Linked DNA regions of Drosophila melanogaster. The protein of the gene in region 1 interacts with the protein of each later gene in a pairwise test. Each region holds a gene or a part of one and is shown in the gene's direction. Other genes may lie near its edges.

The links. Proteins that work in one complex are often made in the same cells at the same time.
Region 2: the proteins of mex1 (region 1) and Syt12 interact in a two-hybrid assay, tested with the Drosophila melanogaster proteins (one large-scale study listed by BioGRID).
Region 3: the proteins of mex1 (region 1) and CNT2 interact in a two-hybrid assay, tested with the Drosophila melanogaster proteins (one large-scale study listed by BioGRID).

What each region holds. Positions count from the first base shown.
Region 1 is NT_037436.4:15,516,909-15,521,534, reverse strand, and holds mex1 (midgut expression 1), read left to right. Parts: upstream 1-1,942; 5' UTR 1,943-2,025; coding exon 2,026-2,078; intron 2,079-2,749; exon of another isoform or gene 2,750-3,174; coding exon of another isoform or gene 3,175-3,227; intron 3,228-3,506; coding exon 3,507-3,705; 3' UTR 3,706-4,111; downstream 4,112-4,626. Other genes in the region: yellow-k, read right to left, coding at 1-915; CG13454 (uncharacterized protein), read left to right, coding at 4,509-4,626. UniProt on the Drosophila melanogaster protein: Involved in morphogenesis and development.
Region 2 is NC_004354.4:13,357,277-13,362,270, forward strand, and holds the start of Syt12 (synaptotagmin 12), read left to right. Parts: upstream 1-1,971; 5' UTR 1,972-2,161; intron 2,162-4,994.
Region 3 is NT_033778.4:9,077,043-9,082,897, forward strand, and holds CNT2 (concentrative nucleoside transporter 2), read left to right. Parts: upstream 1-1,678; 5' UTR 1,679-1,869; exon of another isoform or gene 1,870-1,899; intron 1,900-3,073; coding exon 3,074-3,127; intron 3,128-3,185; coding exon 3,186-3,381; intron 3,382-3,434; coding exon 3,435-3,636; intron 3,637-3,698; coding exon 3,699-4,463; intron 4,464-4,527; coding exon 4,528-4,855; intron 4,856-4,922; coding exon 4,923-5,103; intron 5,104-5,164; coding exon 5,165-5,250; 3' UTR 5,251-5,332; downstream 5,333-5,855. Other genes in the region: CNT1 (concentrative nucleoside transporter 1), read left to right, coding at 5,432-5,576, 5,628-5,855.

The sequences.
Region 1 (4,626 bases):
GATTTCGTTGCCCTCGGCTGTGATGTTGGCTAGTTTGGCACATCGTACGACAGCTCCGAATTTGGGGATAACATAGTACAATGTTCCGAAATTGTCGATGATCATGCTGCGACTGCTGCCCAGAAGACTGCCCAAATGTGTGAGTTTAATGCTATTGTTAATTGGTTTGCTTGCTAATTCGCTTTTGCCTTCAATTTCCAGTCTGTCCACCGTACTGTATAGATCACCATCCTGGTCGGAGAGTATGAGTTCCCCTTGAATTCCGAAGATGAAATCCACTGGCTTGATGGGAAACGATTGATTCATATTCTCGTACTTATTGCTCTCCAAGGATAGGCGGTGCCACGTCTGCTCCAGGATGTCGTAGGCTAGAATTTCTGGTACCTTTCCAAGGATGAAGTAAATATGGCGCTCGTGCTCGCATCCCGGACTCTTGGGTCCCATTTGGACAGTCAGAAAGTGGGTGTCATTAGCACCTATATGGTGTCCACAATCGATTCTCAATAGCTCCGCGTTGTTACGCATCAGATCGAAGACAAACAAACGGGGTGAGCACGTGCTGCCGGGAAATCCGATGTCCATGACCCACAGTCGACTCAGTGCATCCACCTGGGACCAGTGTGCCTGTTGTACCAGAGAGCAATCATCATGATCCCCCATGGAATGAACATCGATGTGGGGAAAGACGACAGTGGGCATGGGAAAATAGGAAACCGGCCATTGCGCCTCGATCAAAGTGGGCGCATCGTTGCTTTCTACATTTACGCTGAGAAACACTCGCGAAAAGTGCATCGATAGATGACGGACTTTGTAGCTGGATTCGTTTAAACCAGATTCGGATAACAGCCAGGCGTCCGTGGCCAGAATTAGACCAACAATGAGAAATCCCAAGCCGAGGACACCATGTGTGACCATCTTTAAACGCGAATTCAGACTGAGCTTAGGGCTAGAGAACTCTGCTTACGTTGTAAGTGCCCGTTCAAGAAGTCCACCAAAGTGTCTACATCAGCAGTTGGGATCGGGTGTCGCCGAATATATCGGCGACCTGCATTAATGGGGACCAGCATTGGAGTGTTTCTCTATTCACTTGTGGTCCCAAAAAAAAAAAGCTTACCAATTTCAATCGGAGAATATCGAAATCATGACACAGTTTCCTCTTAAAATTACCCAAAATTGGATTGTTATATTTTTCAAAATAAATCAAAGTTAAAACCAACAAAATGGTTGTTTTGTACCACCATAATAACCTATAATAAATAAATCATAATAAGGCTATTTTTGTCGAACTTTAGCGATATTGATAAGGTTCCTGTGAACTGAACCTACCTTAAGTGCTTAGTTTTAACATAACCTTAATGTTAACGAGTATTTCTTCGCGTAAAAGTACAAAAAAACCCTATCATATCTTTACAGCCATTATAAAGATTGCTTATAGATGACTGATTTCACTTGGGAATTGCCAAAAAGCTAAAGTGAACCCCCGAGGAATCAATTAATGTTGTTTAGCTTTCAGTTTTTAGTACATTCGTATTTTTTTAAGTATTAAAATTATTTAATCACACGAATAAACATTAAGAAATATTTTATTCTGGAAACTTTCTTCGTTATAGAGCATTTATCGTTGTAAAAAAAATAATTTCATTAGTTTACATTACATTTTCGTTTATATGTTTAGATTTTTTCTAATTAAATGATATTGTATAATTTATTGCAAAAATTATAATACTCACTTCAAATAATCTGAAACAAATCCACCCACTCCGAAAAATGTGGTAAGCTTTATTTTCTAACACCTCTCTTCTGATTTTATTGATTATAACTGGAATCTTTATCGGTTTCTCTCTTTTTCCATCAGTAGGTTGAGAGCTTTTCATACTTTTCACGCCGAAATGGGAAAAATGGCACTGCGCGTAGAGTCAGTTATCCATTTGAGTTGGCCAAGATCAGATCGAAATACGCTAAAATCATTTTCGGGAGCACAATCGAATACTCATACAACACACACTTCAAACGAGGATTATCATCATGTGCAACGCCATTTGTGAATGCCTTAAATGTCCTGGCAAAGTTATTTGCTGGTAAGTTTCCATCAGATTGAATATCCTTTTAAATTAAGTATTAAATAAATAATTACACAAAAATGGATAGTCGACTTTAGGCTTTTTTTAACTATTATGGTTTTACCATAGAGATAAGGTTTGATGAAAAATCCCCCAACAGCGTTATTTTCGTGGTATTTCAAGTACTATTCCTGGTATTGGCAGCTTAATTGACAACTTTCCACTATCAGCTAATAGGTTTTTTTTTTATAGAGATTGCTAAATCCTCGAGGCATTACAATACTCTTCATATTGAGCAGAATTTCTAGAAAGCTCCTACCATAGTTAATGATCAATGATAACAGGTATATTACTTCCTGCTCAGTAATGCCTTAAATATAGAAAGTTTGTTGTTGGTAAAAACCGCTTCTATTGCCACAAAGTTGATTGTTGTCTTTAAACAATCTAGAACGGATGAGACATACATATCTTTAAACGAACAAAACAATTTGTCATTGTCACAAACATTCTGCGCCCTACTCTAGTTAAAAATGATTCATCTACCTTTGCGACCCTAATCAAATTCTTTGGTTATTTTTTTTTTGTTTTGATTTGGAACAAAATAGTCAATAAAATCAAATGTAGGGAATTATGTGCTGGAATCGACGCTTAATCGTTGTCATTGTGTTTATCGTCGTGCTAACAGTAGTTTTCTTTATAATATTTCATATATATGATAAGTATTACGATCAATCCCTCTTCACTCGAGATGTTTAAGTGGCAAATAGCTTTATTCTGTATTTTTATTCTGCTGGATGCACCAGTACGAAAATGATGGATAATACGATACAGATACCTCGGTCGAATGGAAACATTGTAAGCTCCGTTTTCCAATAACTCTCACCCATTTTTCTCACTGGCGTAGTGATAATTATAGTCGACTTGTTATCAGTCTATTTGTTATTTTTTCGGCCGATATGATTAAAGCTTTCAATACCTGTAGACCCCAAAATGCGGTCGATGACAGTTACCCGCTTCAGTTAATATTTTGTGTTGGTCAACCACGCATCGGGAATCGGAAATATACTGTACAGTATATCTATCTATAATAGAATAACCCAAAAAAGTCATCACCATGTGCAACGCTCTCTGTGAATGCCTCAAATGTCCCGGCAAAGTGGTTTGCTGGTAAGTTTCCATCGGTTTCTGGCTCACTAATCATCATATACAAATATATACTATATATATATAAATTATATGTGAGAGCTCTTGACCAGCTCTGGATGAAGCCAATTTGGGAAATTTAGAAATGGGTATCTTCAGTTACAAGCATCCTAAGTATTCGGGATTCAACCTGATTGAAATGAACTAATTGAACTGATCTGACAACAAGATCTGACATCCAGGATATCTCCATCTTGATCATGTGTAAAACTTTTCTAATCAGATCTTTCCATATCCTTGCAGCTGCTGTTCCTGCGCCTGCAAGATGCTCCTGAGCATCGTGTTTTCTGCGCTCCTGATGGTCGTGGTGATCGGCTTGATTGTCTACTTCACGGTCTTCTATCACAAGGATAAGAACACGGATGAGGTGCAGAAGCAGGTCGCCCAACTGACGCCCATTGTGAAGCGCAGCATACGCGACTACTTCAACAAGGAGTACTGATCTGAGGACATGAATTTATACTATAGGCCATATTAATAATAACTCCGTCGAAATCGAAATTGAAACGAACTAAGAACCAAAGCCGTTCAGTGCATGACTTAATCTAATCGCGTCGGATGCTCGTTATGGGATTTTTTCTTATCTATAGATAGTTTGGGACTCAATTGAATGGGCAATTTGTGCGTTCTTTAGAAAGGTAGATAATGTTGGAGCGGCAAAAAATGTGACTCACTGTATACCTTACAATACATTTTGAACTCGAAACCCAGTAAAGCATTCACAATATATATTTAATGTATAATATGTATGAATGTAAGGCAGATTAAAAAAGTTATATTGTACTGGATGACACACTATAAACAAGACAATAAAACTAAAATATCTATAGAAAATTGAAAGTGGAAATAAAAGTAAGTGTATCATTAATTAATAGCATCTCTACATACTGGCTTTTAAAATTTGTAAATCTAAAATAAGCTAATATTTTAAGCTTGGGGGAAAGAAATTAGAAAACTTCGTTATTGAAGTGTGAGATATTCACTAATAAATATTTGAGCTAGGGAAGTTCAAATATTTTTTTAAGATGAGGGTTTACCAGCAGGGAAACCCCTCATTACCACAGTCCTTCCAGCTGTTTTCCTAGTTTTATGTACACCATTGTTTGGGATCAGGTAGCCTAGAACACCGTCGAGGGTTGAAAAGTGTCCAAGATCTGGTGGTCCGTTCAAATGCATTTCAAACTCGTCCCCTTGACTTGCTTCAATCAACTTTGGGCTCAGTTGTTCGCCAGCATCAGGTTCACAATGTCCTCCGATTCCACGCTGTACTTCAGTGCCGTCGAGGATATGTTCAAGGAAGTGTTAACAATAGGGGACGAGAAGAGGGATCCTGGAAACGAGGATTTCTCCGAAACACCTAAAC
Region 2 (4,994 bases), on another chromosome or scaffold:
ATACATACTATACAGTGGCACTCACAACATAGTTGCTGTTTGTGTTAGTCGCAATTTACCACAATTTGTACAATTTATTTGCTTTCCCTTTGACTCTTCAACTCGGGAATGCCCCTTTGTTTTTCTGTTTTCTGGTTTTTATTTTTATTTATTTATTTTTTTTATTTGATTCGGTTGCATTTCATTTGCAATTTAGACCTTTTCATTTTTGCGACCCCAGCACTCGTTTTTATTGTTTCATTTTAGCCTGAAATGCGGTTTTCCTTTTCCTATTTTATTTCTCTCATTTTATTTCATTTTATTGTGTTGTATTTTTTTTTTATTTTTTTTTTTTTTGATTTTCTGCCCACCAAGATTTGACCGACAATCGAGAATATCGAGCATCGTGGCTATAGCCCCCTTGTCCGGTGGAAATATCGTTCGCCAAAGTGTCGATTGAAAGCAATTTGATTTGGCGAACAATCTGCTGATTGCTGCTGTCAGAGGAATTGCGAAATAATTCTGTGAAAATTATCCAAACTGAGTGTGCTTTTAATCGTTAGTGGTTTTTTTTCTCATTTTTTTTTTCTTGTATTCAGCATTTTCATTGCGGCGTGGCTCAGCTGGGGATTGGGATATATGCCTTTCGCCTTTTTGGCATTTCGGCAGTGCCAAAAATTGCGTAATGGCCGCAAAATCAAAATGCGGCAAGTTGCAAAATGTGAAATTTATTAGGCGCTTCGGGGCAACGAGAGAGCGAGAGATGTAAAAACATTTCGCGCCGAGCATCCTTTGGGGAGTCACGCTAGATTGACCACGAATTAAAGCCATTATCGGCCGAAAGGCCGACCCTTGTGTGTGTGTATCTATCTATTATTCAGGTTTTCGAGAACTCACCCCCCTTCCCCCCCCCCGCTGCACCCCACCGCCGTTTACCCTGCAAGCCGAGAGGAGTGACGGAAGGCACCCCCATTCCCCTACCCGCACCTATCATTCTTTTAGTTTTTCATTCTCCTGCTTTCTTAATCCGCTTAAAGCGATTCGGATTCGGCAAATGTTAAAATTCCAGGATTAGGGATTGCAGTAACATTGAGTAAGGTCAAACTGTTCTATAGCTTGCGATCCACAAAAGTTACTCCATGACCAACAGGCAGGGGAAGTGGCTAACAGTTGGGGGAAAGTAGCCGAAGTATCGCTGTTACCGGAAATGGGCATGCTGTACAACGGCATTGCCAAATGGGAAAAGTATAACAGTTACGATATATGTTATATGCCTTCCAAGCCGATTTCAGCCCCTTCGTAGGACAGATATGCGCCGCACGTGTTTTTGGTGGAAGTCGTGACACGAGCGAACTGGAAAATATCGCCTAGAACATATTATTCTTATTCGTATATTCTTATTAAAATATTATGAATTCAGTACAGACTTCGAAAACATTAATATTCTAAGATGCGCTTGTTTTCTAAGTAGATTTACGCATTCTTACAATTTATTTACGTATGTAAAAACATTATATGCCCAAAGAACATATTTTTTAGTTAATTTTATACTTTTAAGCACATTTTAAACAAGAGTAATTCTTTTAAAACGTTTTGTAATAAATTTGGTAGTTAATTATTAGAAAGTACAAGTTCTTTAAGATAAATACATTTAAATAGCAGAAAATTTCGCCATAAAAAGCTCGCTTCTATCATTTATCATCACCGTTTTATGGATAAACCTAAGTCGCATTTATGGCGTTTTCCTTTAATTTTATAGAATTTAGGTGAAGTTTTGGCTGTGCCCTTAGATTATGGTGCATTTATAGCATTCGCCAATAGTTAACCTTTGTGTCAAAGCTTGTCCCAAAAGCTCGCCTTTTTTTGCCGACGCAAAGTTCGTTAGAAAGGACGAAGCTTGCATTGTTTTCAAAACGAAAGCTTAAAGCTGCAAAAACGCATATCAAAGAGAAAGTGGAGCAAAGTTGTTGCTGTGTTTTGACCAGCTTTCCCCCAGTTGGCCGCGAGTTTTGGCACCGAACGGTCTACGAAAATGAGCGAATTTTCCGCCCGCACTTCCGCTTCCTGCTCTTCCTCTTTCCGCAGCGTTACTACTTGTTATTATTTGTATTGTTAAATCAGAGTGATAAACTAATATATTTGCCATTTAAATGTGGCCAAATGATCAGCAAGGATAAGTAAGGTAAGCAATTGCTAGTTCTTCTTCTGTTCCGTTCTGTTCTGTTTTGTTTTGTTTGGTAAAAGTGCGAGTGGGAAAAATGCAGGAAAATCCAAATGAGCTGCGTTTCGGTGTGTCTGTGTGCGTTGCTCTAGATTTTTGGCCTTTTATCTTGAGCCTCCATCTCCCTGGCTCTTTCCCATTTCTGATTACTTTGACTTTCGCCCGCTTTTCACTCTCCATTTCACAGTGAAAAGTTTTTTGATTTCTGCTCTTTGTTTTTTTTTCGATGGAAATGGAAAATGGGGTAAGGGCTACAGTTGTCACTCGCCGAACGTGACTGGCGTTCACTTTTCACAGCTTGTCCCATTTCTGATGGCCCAAAAGAGGTCATCTCTGGCTAATTCGGTGCGACACTTTCAGGCCCAAAACCAAATATAGTGTATATAGCATATATATATGGTATATGCGCATACATACATATACATATATCAGTTATCGGAGGAGCCTGCGTGAGTGTGTGTGTTTGTGTGCACCTGCAGCAACAAAAGACAGAGCAAAGAGCCAGTGGAATGACCTCCCAGTAGGTTAATGAAAAGTGGCACTTCAGCTGGCTGCTGCCTCTTGGCCCGGCTAAAAGTTCTTCTAAGCCACAAGCGTTGTGCTACCAACTTGGCCCTACTAAACTAGCCAAATTTTAATGGCCAATTACGACTGAAATTACCGACAGTTTCACCAAATATAATGCTCTTTTTACTGCCTTCTGAAGGGCATTGCTTTATGAGGATTATAAAACAGATTGTGTATTTTCTGTTTTATTTTGTAAGTTTATCGCAGCTAAGAACACCTCTAATTAAAGAGCATCTCAAATCTGAAATCCTTTTAATTTGTTATTGAGTTGCAATCAAATAATATTGTTAAAAATGGAAATTAACATTGCTACAGCTGCAACTCTAGTTTCTTTTAAGCAATTACATAGTAAATCCTTTCTCGTATTACACGGTATCTAATAGGCTACCCTATGCTTTGGTAAATTAATGTAATGCTCTTTTACCCAAGGCATGTATGTATAATTAAACCGATTTAATTCCCAGCTCAATGAACTGGATACGATGCATCTCCGAGCAAATTAATGAGTACAGAGTAGAGAAAATAAATAATCAGGCTTAATGGATCTGGCAATATACAGTGCAGCTTCCCTAAAAGAAATATGCGATAATTCAGTTCCAAATCACAAAGTTAATTAACAATACTAAAAACACATTTTGGATGATTTATGGAAACTAATTTCGAAATTTTGGATAAAAATTTCCAAAAAATTTTAAAATAATTACATTTTTCAAAAATGCAATATCTAAGAATGGTTTTTTGGGTATAACTTCACTAAAAATGGTCATAGAGCAAAACGAATTAACATTTTATGCTCCCTATTACCGATACTAACCATTCCTATCACTTTTTAACGGATTTTGTAAAATTTATTTTTGGCCAAATTTTCGCATTTTTTGTAAGGGGTAACATCATCAAAATTTGCAAAAAATTGAAAAATCCTAGAATTCCCAAATTTGAATGCAAATCGATTGGGATTCAAAAAACAAACTCAACGAGGCATGACATTCCATATTTGGATTATTATTTTCAATGTTTTGATTAAAATACCGATTAGTTTTTTTACAAAAAATCAGGGAAACCATTTTTCCAAAAATTGAAATAATTAAGATCGGTTTTTTGGGTATAACTTGGTTAAAAATGCCCTCACAGCAAAAAGAATTACCATTTTATGCTCCCTATTACCAATACTAACCATCCCTATCACTTTTTAACGGATTTTGTAAAATAATTTTTTGGCCAAATTTTCGCATTTTTTGTAAGGGGTAACATCATCAAAATTTGCAAAAAATTGAAAAATCCTAGAATTCCCAAATTTGAATGCAAATCGATTGGGATTCAAAAAACAAACTCAACGAGGCATGACATTCCATATTTGGATTATTATTTTCAATGTTTTGATTAAAATACCGATTAGTTTTTTTACAAAAAATCAGGGAAACCATTTTTCCAAAAATTGAAATAATTAAGATCGGTTTTTTGGGTATAACTTGGTTAAAAATGCCCTCACAGCAAAAAGAATTACCATTTTATGCTCCCTATTACCAATACTAACCATCCCTATCACTTTTTAACGGATTTTGCAAAATTTATTTTTGGCCAAATTTTCGCATTTTTTGTAAGGGGTAACATCATTAAAATTTGCGAAAAATTGAAAAATCCTAGAATTCCCAAACTTAAATGCAAATCGATTGGGATTCAAAAAACAAACTCAACGAGGTATGACATTCCATATTTGGGCCATTATTTCCCATGTTTTGATCAAAATACCGAATATTTTATCACAAAAAATCTGGGAAACTATTTTTGGCAAAAAACTCAATTTTCAAGTTGGCTCTTTTGGCTATAACTTGACTAAAAATGGTCACAGAGCAAAAATTAGTACCATTTTATACTCCTTATAACCAATACTAACCACCCCTTTCACTTTTTAACTGATTTAGTAAAATTTATTTTTGGCCAAATTTTCGCATTTTTTGTAAGGGGTAACATCATCAAAATTTGCAAAAAATTGAAAAATCCTAGAATTCCCAAACTTGAATGCAAATCGATTGGGATTCAAAAAACAAACTCAACGAGGTATGACATTCCATATTTGGATTATTATTTTCAATGTTTTGATTAAAATACCGATTAGTTTTTTTACAAAAAATCAGGGAAACCATTTTTCCAAAAATTGAAATAATTAAGATCGGTTTTTTGGGTATAACTTGGTTAAAAATGCCCTCACAGCAAAAAGAATTACCAT
Region 3 (5,855 bases), on another chromosome or scaffold:
TTAGATGGGGTTGAAGTCGCACATTTTTGCAACAAAAATTGTCAAAGCCTCAAGAGGAAGGCAAGCCCGGAAAACAATTTATACGAATTTAAGTAATATATTTAGATGCTAAACAAAATTAATCAATGCCTTATCGAAGCATTACAATCCCTAACTTCTGCACAATTCCCTCGAAAACCAGCAAGCCAAGAACGAACCAAATCAAGCATTTTCGATTCTATTGATAAGTGATTAAAGTCCCGCAATATAGTTGTGTTACATCATAAATAAGTCACTAGGTTTAAAGTGCCTTTCTGCTAAATCTCAAAATTCCCCATTGGAACCCATTGACCCTTTGGTTTTAAGATTTTAAGAACCACATGTTCATCCAGTCAAAGCACATTGTATCCCTAATCCTTCATATCCATACCTACTAAGTGCATTTGCAAGTCGATAAATGAAATATAAAGATGAATATGATCTATTAATAAATTTAAATCGCACGAACACGTGTAGAGTTGCGAATCAAATATAAAGCCAGTTGACTACAGACTTTCTTGTATTATACCCCTTTTGGATCAGATTATCACACGAGGGGCTCGACGATAAGATACGATGCTCTTTCCTATTAAATCGCACAGAATTACGATTGGCAACCTCCTTTAACTTTGCACCCTTCGATTGGCCAATCAGTTGTGTCATTCTGCTAATCGCCGACCACCAATAGAAGTCTTTATCAATGGGCGGGTGTACGACTCGGTATCGCGGTAGCCTTCCTCTATCGCAATATAGCTATCAGATTCCTCAAACGTCATCGCTATCGCATTCAATCTGCTGAGGGGTTTATGGCCCTTCTGAAAATTATCTGGCACTAATATCGGCCTAGAACGCATGCCGAGAACATCTCATTGTTAACAGCCAGCTGATAAAACAGGCAACATGTCATCTCAATTGCCTATTTAGCGGTACACTGCCATCGCAAGTGTATTAGGATGCACAGGGAAAAATAAGTATAAAGAACTTAAAAAGATTATCAATCGAACCTACTTGAAAATAGGGCAATTGATCATCATTAACTTAATATTAGACTGATATATCTCAATAAATATTATTTATAATATCTTCAAAGAAATTTTTTTTTATTAAAATAAGAAAAGTATAAGATGATTGAAACCAATGTGGATTCTAATATTATCTGCCTGTTTTCAAATGTTATTAAATTATTATTTTTATTTTATATTATAATTTTTTAATTGATATTAAATTGATCTTTTTCATCAGTGATCCATTTTGCGGCATTGCACTTTAAGTTAAAACTCAATTTGTAAAAATTGAGTTGGTACAATCAAGCTAATATTTATTTAATAATTATTTCACTGTGTAGTTAAACCAAATTAACACCTTACCAATCGGTATCACACAGTATTAGCTGGGTACTCAAGTACCCATTGATTGCTATGATGAAATAAAAAGCCTCATTAAATATTAAAATCGAGAAATTACAAATTTCTTACGAGCTTTAATGTTAATTTGAGGTAAGCTTTGCTCTCAACTTATATTTCTGTAAATCAAAAAGGCCAAATGGTATCAAGACACCATAAATTATTAGATAGAAAAAAGGCAGTGCGAATCCTAAACCTGATACCTTCTTATCAGATACCGTGTAGTAGCGATTGTATTAAAAAGGCCCGTTCGGAGCAAACCGAATTTAGTCTTGCCGCGAGTTTCAACGAGCTACAATGGCAGTTAGCCAACGTTTTTAGTCTGGCTAAACAGATGCATTTATCAGTCATTTGTATTCGGGCAGACAATAACGACGTTAAAAACCCGTTTCGGCCATAACAAACCTATAGTACTCATCAGATACGAAGCAAAACAAACAGTAAAAAGGTGAATTAACTGTCGTTCCAAAAATTCAAGGTGCGATCATTATATAGACTTAAAATACAAACTGAATACTCGTATAAAAAACGTGTTTTTGAATGTGAACTCTGTATGATTTTAGTCAATTTTGTAGAAAAAACAATAATCGGCAAAAAACACGTGTTCTCGAGGCTGAATATACATATAACCATGTTCTCAGAGCTGGTCTATTAAATATAAGTGCTTTATTAACTTTCACGAGTTTGGCTAAATGCCACTCTGATAGTGCTATCAACTCTGTTTCGATTACCCAGAATGGAAAATCCTAACCGAAAGACCACCTAACGAGGAACTATACTATATTGAATGGGATTTACAGCCCGAATTTATCAGGAATGAGAATTGAAGTGGATTATTTATAGCCTGTGCTGTAGTTTACAGCCCAGTCCCGTTGTTGGCCTCTTAAGTTAATGCCCGGAAATTATTTGAGTGGCCATCCACGTGCTGGAGTTTAGTCATTGACTCTGAAAAACTAAGTGCCCAATTCAAAAATCCTGGCCCATGTGCAAATTTTAAAATTGGAATCCGCGGATCCTATCGCTTGCTTTTGAGTGGCATGAATCGTTCAAATTGCCAAACTTTGATTCAGATAGCTAACACACACCTATCTTGTGCTGTGCGACACTTGGCATATATGCCCACTCGAGTCGAGGGCTAAAATAATTTGAAAGAGATAATGCCAGATTATGATTGCGGCAAATTACTTGTCGCTGGGTATTAATACCACATACTCGTAGTTTTTCTCTAAGTATATTAGTTTCGTTTAGGGTATATAAGATATATATAGAATATATATAGAAAGAATTTGACCCTATAAATAGTATATTCTTCATAAGGATCCGTCAGTTGTCCGTCCGTCCGTCCGCATGAAGTTCGATATAGAACTCTAGGCAACTTTAGGCATGCAAGTTTGTTTTAAGCCGTTGCCACGCCCACCGATATCGCTAAAGTCTGCCCACATGCTTAACGTCTAAATAATGTTGTGATAGGCTTATCAAAAATAGGACTCGTTCAAATTGGACCATTAGAAAGGTATTAAGAGTAAGCTGAAAGCTTATTAACAAAATATAGCAAGTAAATTTGCTGCCAAAGCAACAACTCGCTTTGTTGTACCGGGTATATAATAGTCGATACACTTAACTTAAACGTTCTCTCTTGTTTTTTGTTATAGATGTCAGCCGAATCATCAAAAGGAGCTATTAACAATGGCTACGAACTGGATCATGTAGGTTTTTAATTAAAAAAGCTTTGTAAACCAGATTAAATATTATAAAATGTCATAGAAGGAGTTGGACATCCGTGACTCGGAAGAATTCACGGAACATCCACTGGATGACACCAGCGAGGTGGCAAATAAAAAGGGATATTTTGAAAAGAATCCAAAAGTAGCGCGACTGGTGAGGATCTCGATTTATGTACTGCTGCATCTGTGTGTTGTGGGGTACTTCTCATATGCAACCTACCACTATCACGACATAAGTAAGTATATCGCCAAAATAATTAGCAAGAAGTATACCATTATTTATCTACAGCCAACTATGAGTGCTATTGGAAAGACAACCCATTGTGCGGCATCAACTTCTGCACGGGCTATGGAATGCTCCTGCTCCTCCTGGGATTCATCTATTTGGGTCTATTCTACTACTATGTCTTTAAGCCGATGGTGGGGCACAGCCTGCACAGGAACTATATCAAACCATTTTCAAAGAAATGGCACAACTTCAGCAGAACCAGGTAAACTATTATGAAGAAAATATATGTTTAAATCTTCTAACTACTCCTCTTCGTTTTCCCAGAGTTGTGTCATTGGCCAGCATCGCATTGCTCCTGGCCCTTTTGGCCATCTTTGTGTACTTCGAGTGCCGGGACGAGACCCAAAAACTGGTGTCCCTGGTGGCACCCTGCTTCTTCATCCTGTGCGGCTACGTTTTCTCCACGAATCGAAGAGCCATTAATTGGCGCATAGTCATCACGGGAATCACGTGCCAGTTTCTGCTCGGCATTTTCTGCATCCGCTGGGAGGTGGGACGAAAAATCTTCGAGTGCTTGGGCAACAAGGTGGCCACGTTTCTGGGCTATGCCACCGATGGAGCCGAGTTCGTGTTCGGCGACTTCCTGGTGAACAACAATGTGTTCGCCTTCGCCATCCTGCCGGTTATCTTCTTCTTCAGCTTCTTCATCTCCATCCTGTACTACATGGGTACAATGCAGTGGGTGGTGATCAAACTGGGCTGGATCCTGCAGCAGATTCTGGGCACCACTGTTTGCGAAAGCGTGACGGCCGCAGCCAACATCTTCCTTGGCATGTCCGAGAGCCCGCTGCTCATTCGGCCGTATATCAACAAGCTGACCAAGAGCGAAATCCACAGCATCATGGTGTCCGGATTTGCGACCGTGTCCGGAACCGTGTTGGCGGCCTACTTGTCATTCGGTGCATCGGCCGCGCACTTGATCACCTCCTCGGTGATGGCAGCTCCCGCTACTCTGGCCATCTCTAAGCTTTACATGCCCGAAACGGAGGAGAGCCAGACCTCATCCGATTCAATTGAACTGGAAAAATCGTACGTATTTCTAAGGCGCCTAGTTTAACCCAAATGTCTAACTAGTTCACTGTCATCCTTGTAGACAGGACTCTTCGCTGCTGGACGCAGCGTCCAGTGGTGCCAGCAACGCCGTGCCCATTGTTCTGGGCATTATCGCTAACATAGTCGCCTTCGTCGCCTTCATCGCCTTCCTAAATGGTCTGGTCAGTTGGTTTGGTTACCTGGTGGGTCTCGAGCAAATCGACTTCGAGTGGATATTCTCTAAGCTGTTCATCCCGCTGGTCTGGGCCATGGGGGTGCCAAAAGAGGATTGCGATATCATCGCCAAGGTGGTGGCCACCAAAACCATTATCAATGAGTTTGTGGCCTATGAGCGTCTGGGTCAATACATCGAAAATAATGATATCACTGTAAGTTGTAGATGGTGTGAAACCCATAGCTCATCTGGAAACTAACGTTTGAGGTCGATTTTTGTAGGCCCGCAGCGCTGGAATCGCCACATTCGCCATCTGCGGCTTTGCCAATCCCAGTTCCCTGGGCATCCTTATCGGATCCCTCAGTGCTATGGCACCACATCGTCGCTCCACCATTACAGCAGTGGCTTTCCGAGCGTTTGTGGTGGGCAGCATAGTCTGTTTCGTATCCGCCAGCTTTGCAGGTCAGTCGATAAACGATCATAAATATTTCTTATTATTTTAACTAGTTTTACTTTATTATAGGCATCCTTATACAAGAAGATGACGAGCGGGCGAACTACAACAGGATATTCGAGAAGTTGGGTCGAAAGAATGTTACTCAGTTTTAGTTCCTTAAAGTTGTAGTTCGTGATAATTAGCTGATCAAATTTAGCAAAATACAATTCTTATTTATTAAAGATGTTTAGGATTATTTTTACCTATTTGTTTACTAAGGGGCTGTGGGATATAAGTCATAAGATCCACACAACACTTCTTTACACTACACACTGTTTCTCATTTATACACACAATGGCAGAACCAATAGAAGGCGAACAGGAGGAAAAGCCTCCGCCATCGAGGGCAAAGCGAATCACCTATCTGGTACTCCATGTGCTGCTCCATATCATATTCATATCTTACTTTACGGCAGCCACAATCATTTTCATCTTTTACGGTAAGTTACCCCTTTGAGTTCGAATGTAAATGTTTATGAGGAAAAACCCAGACAAGGATTCCAAAGAATGCTGGCCCAATAGGGGCTCGGAAGCCACAACCGAATCGATAGATAACTCAACCGAAGATGATGATGATGATGATTATGACACAGAAGAAACTTCTGAGAAGCCAGTGCCAGAGGTTAAGCCAAAACTATTGTGCCAAATTAACTGGTGTCATGGATACGGGTTTCTCATCGTCTTGTTCATCTTGTTTTATATCCTATGGCTGTACTACT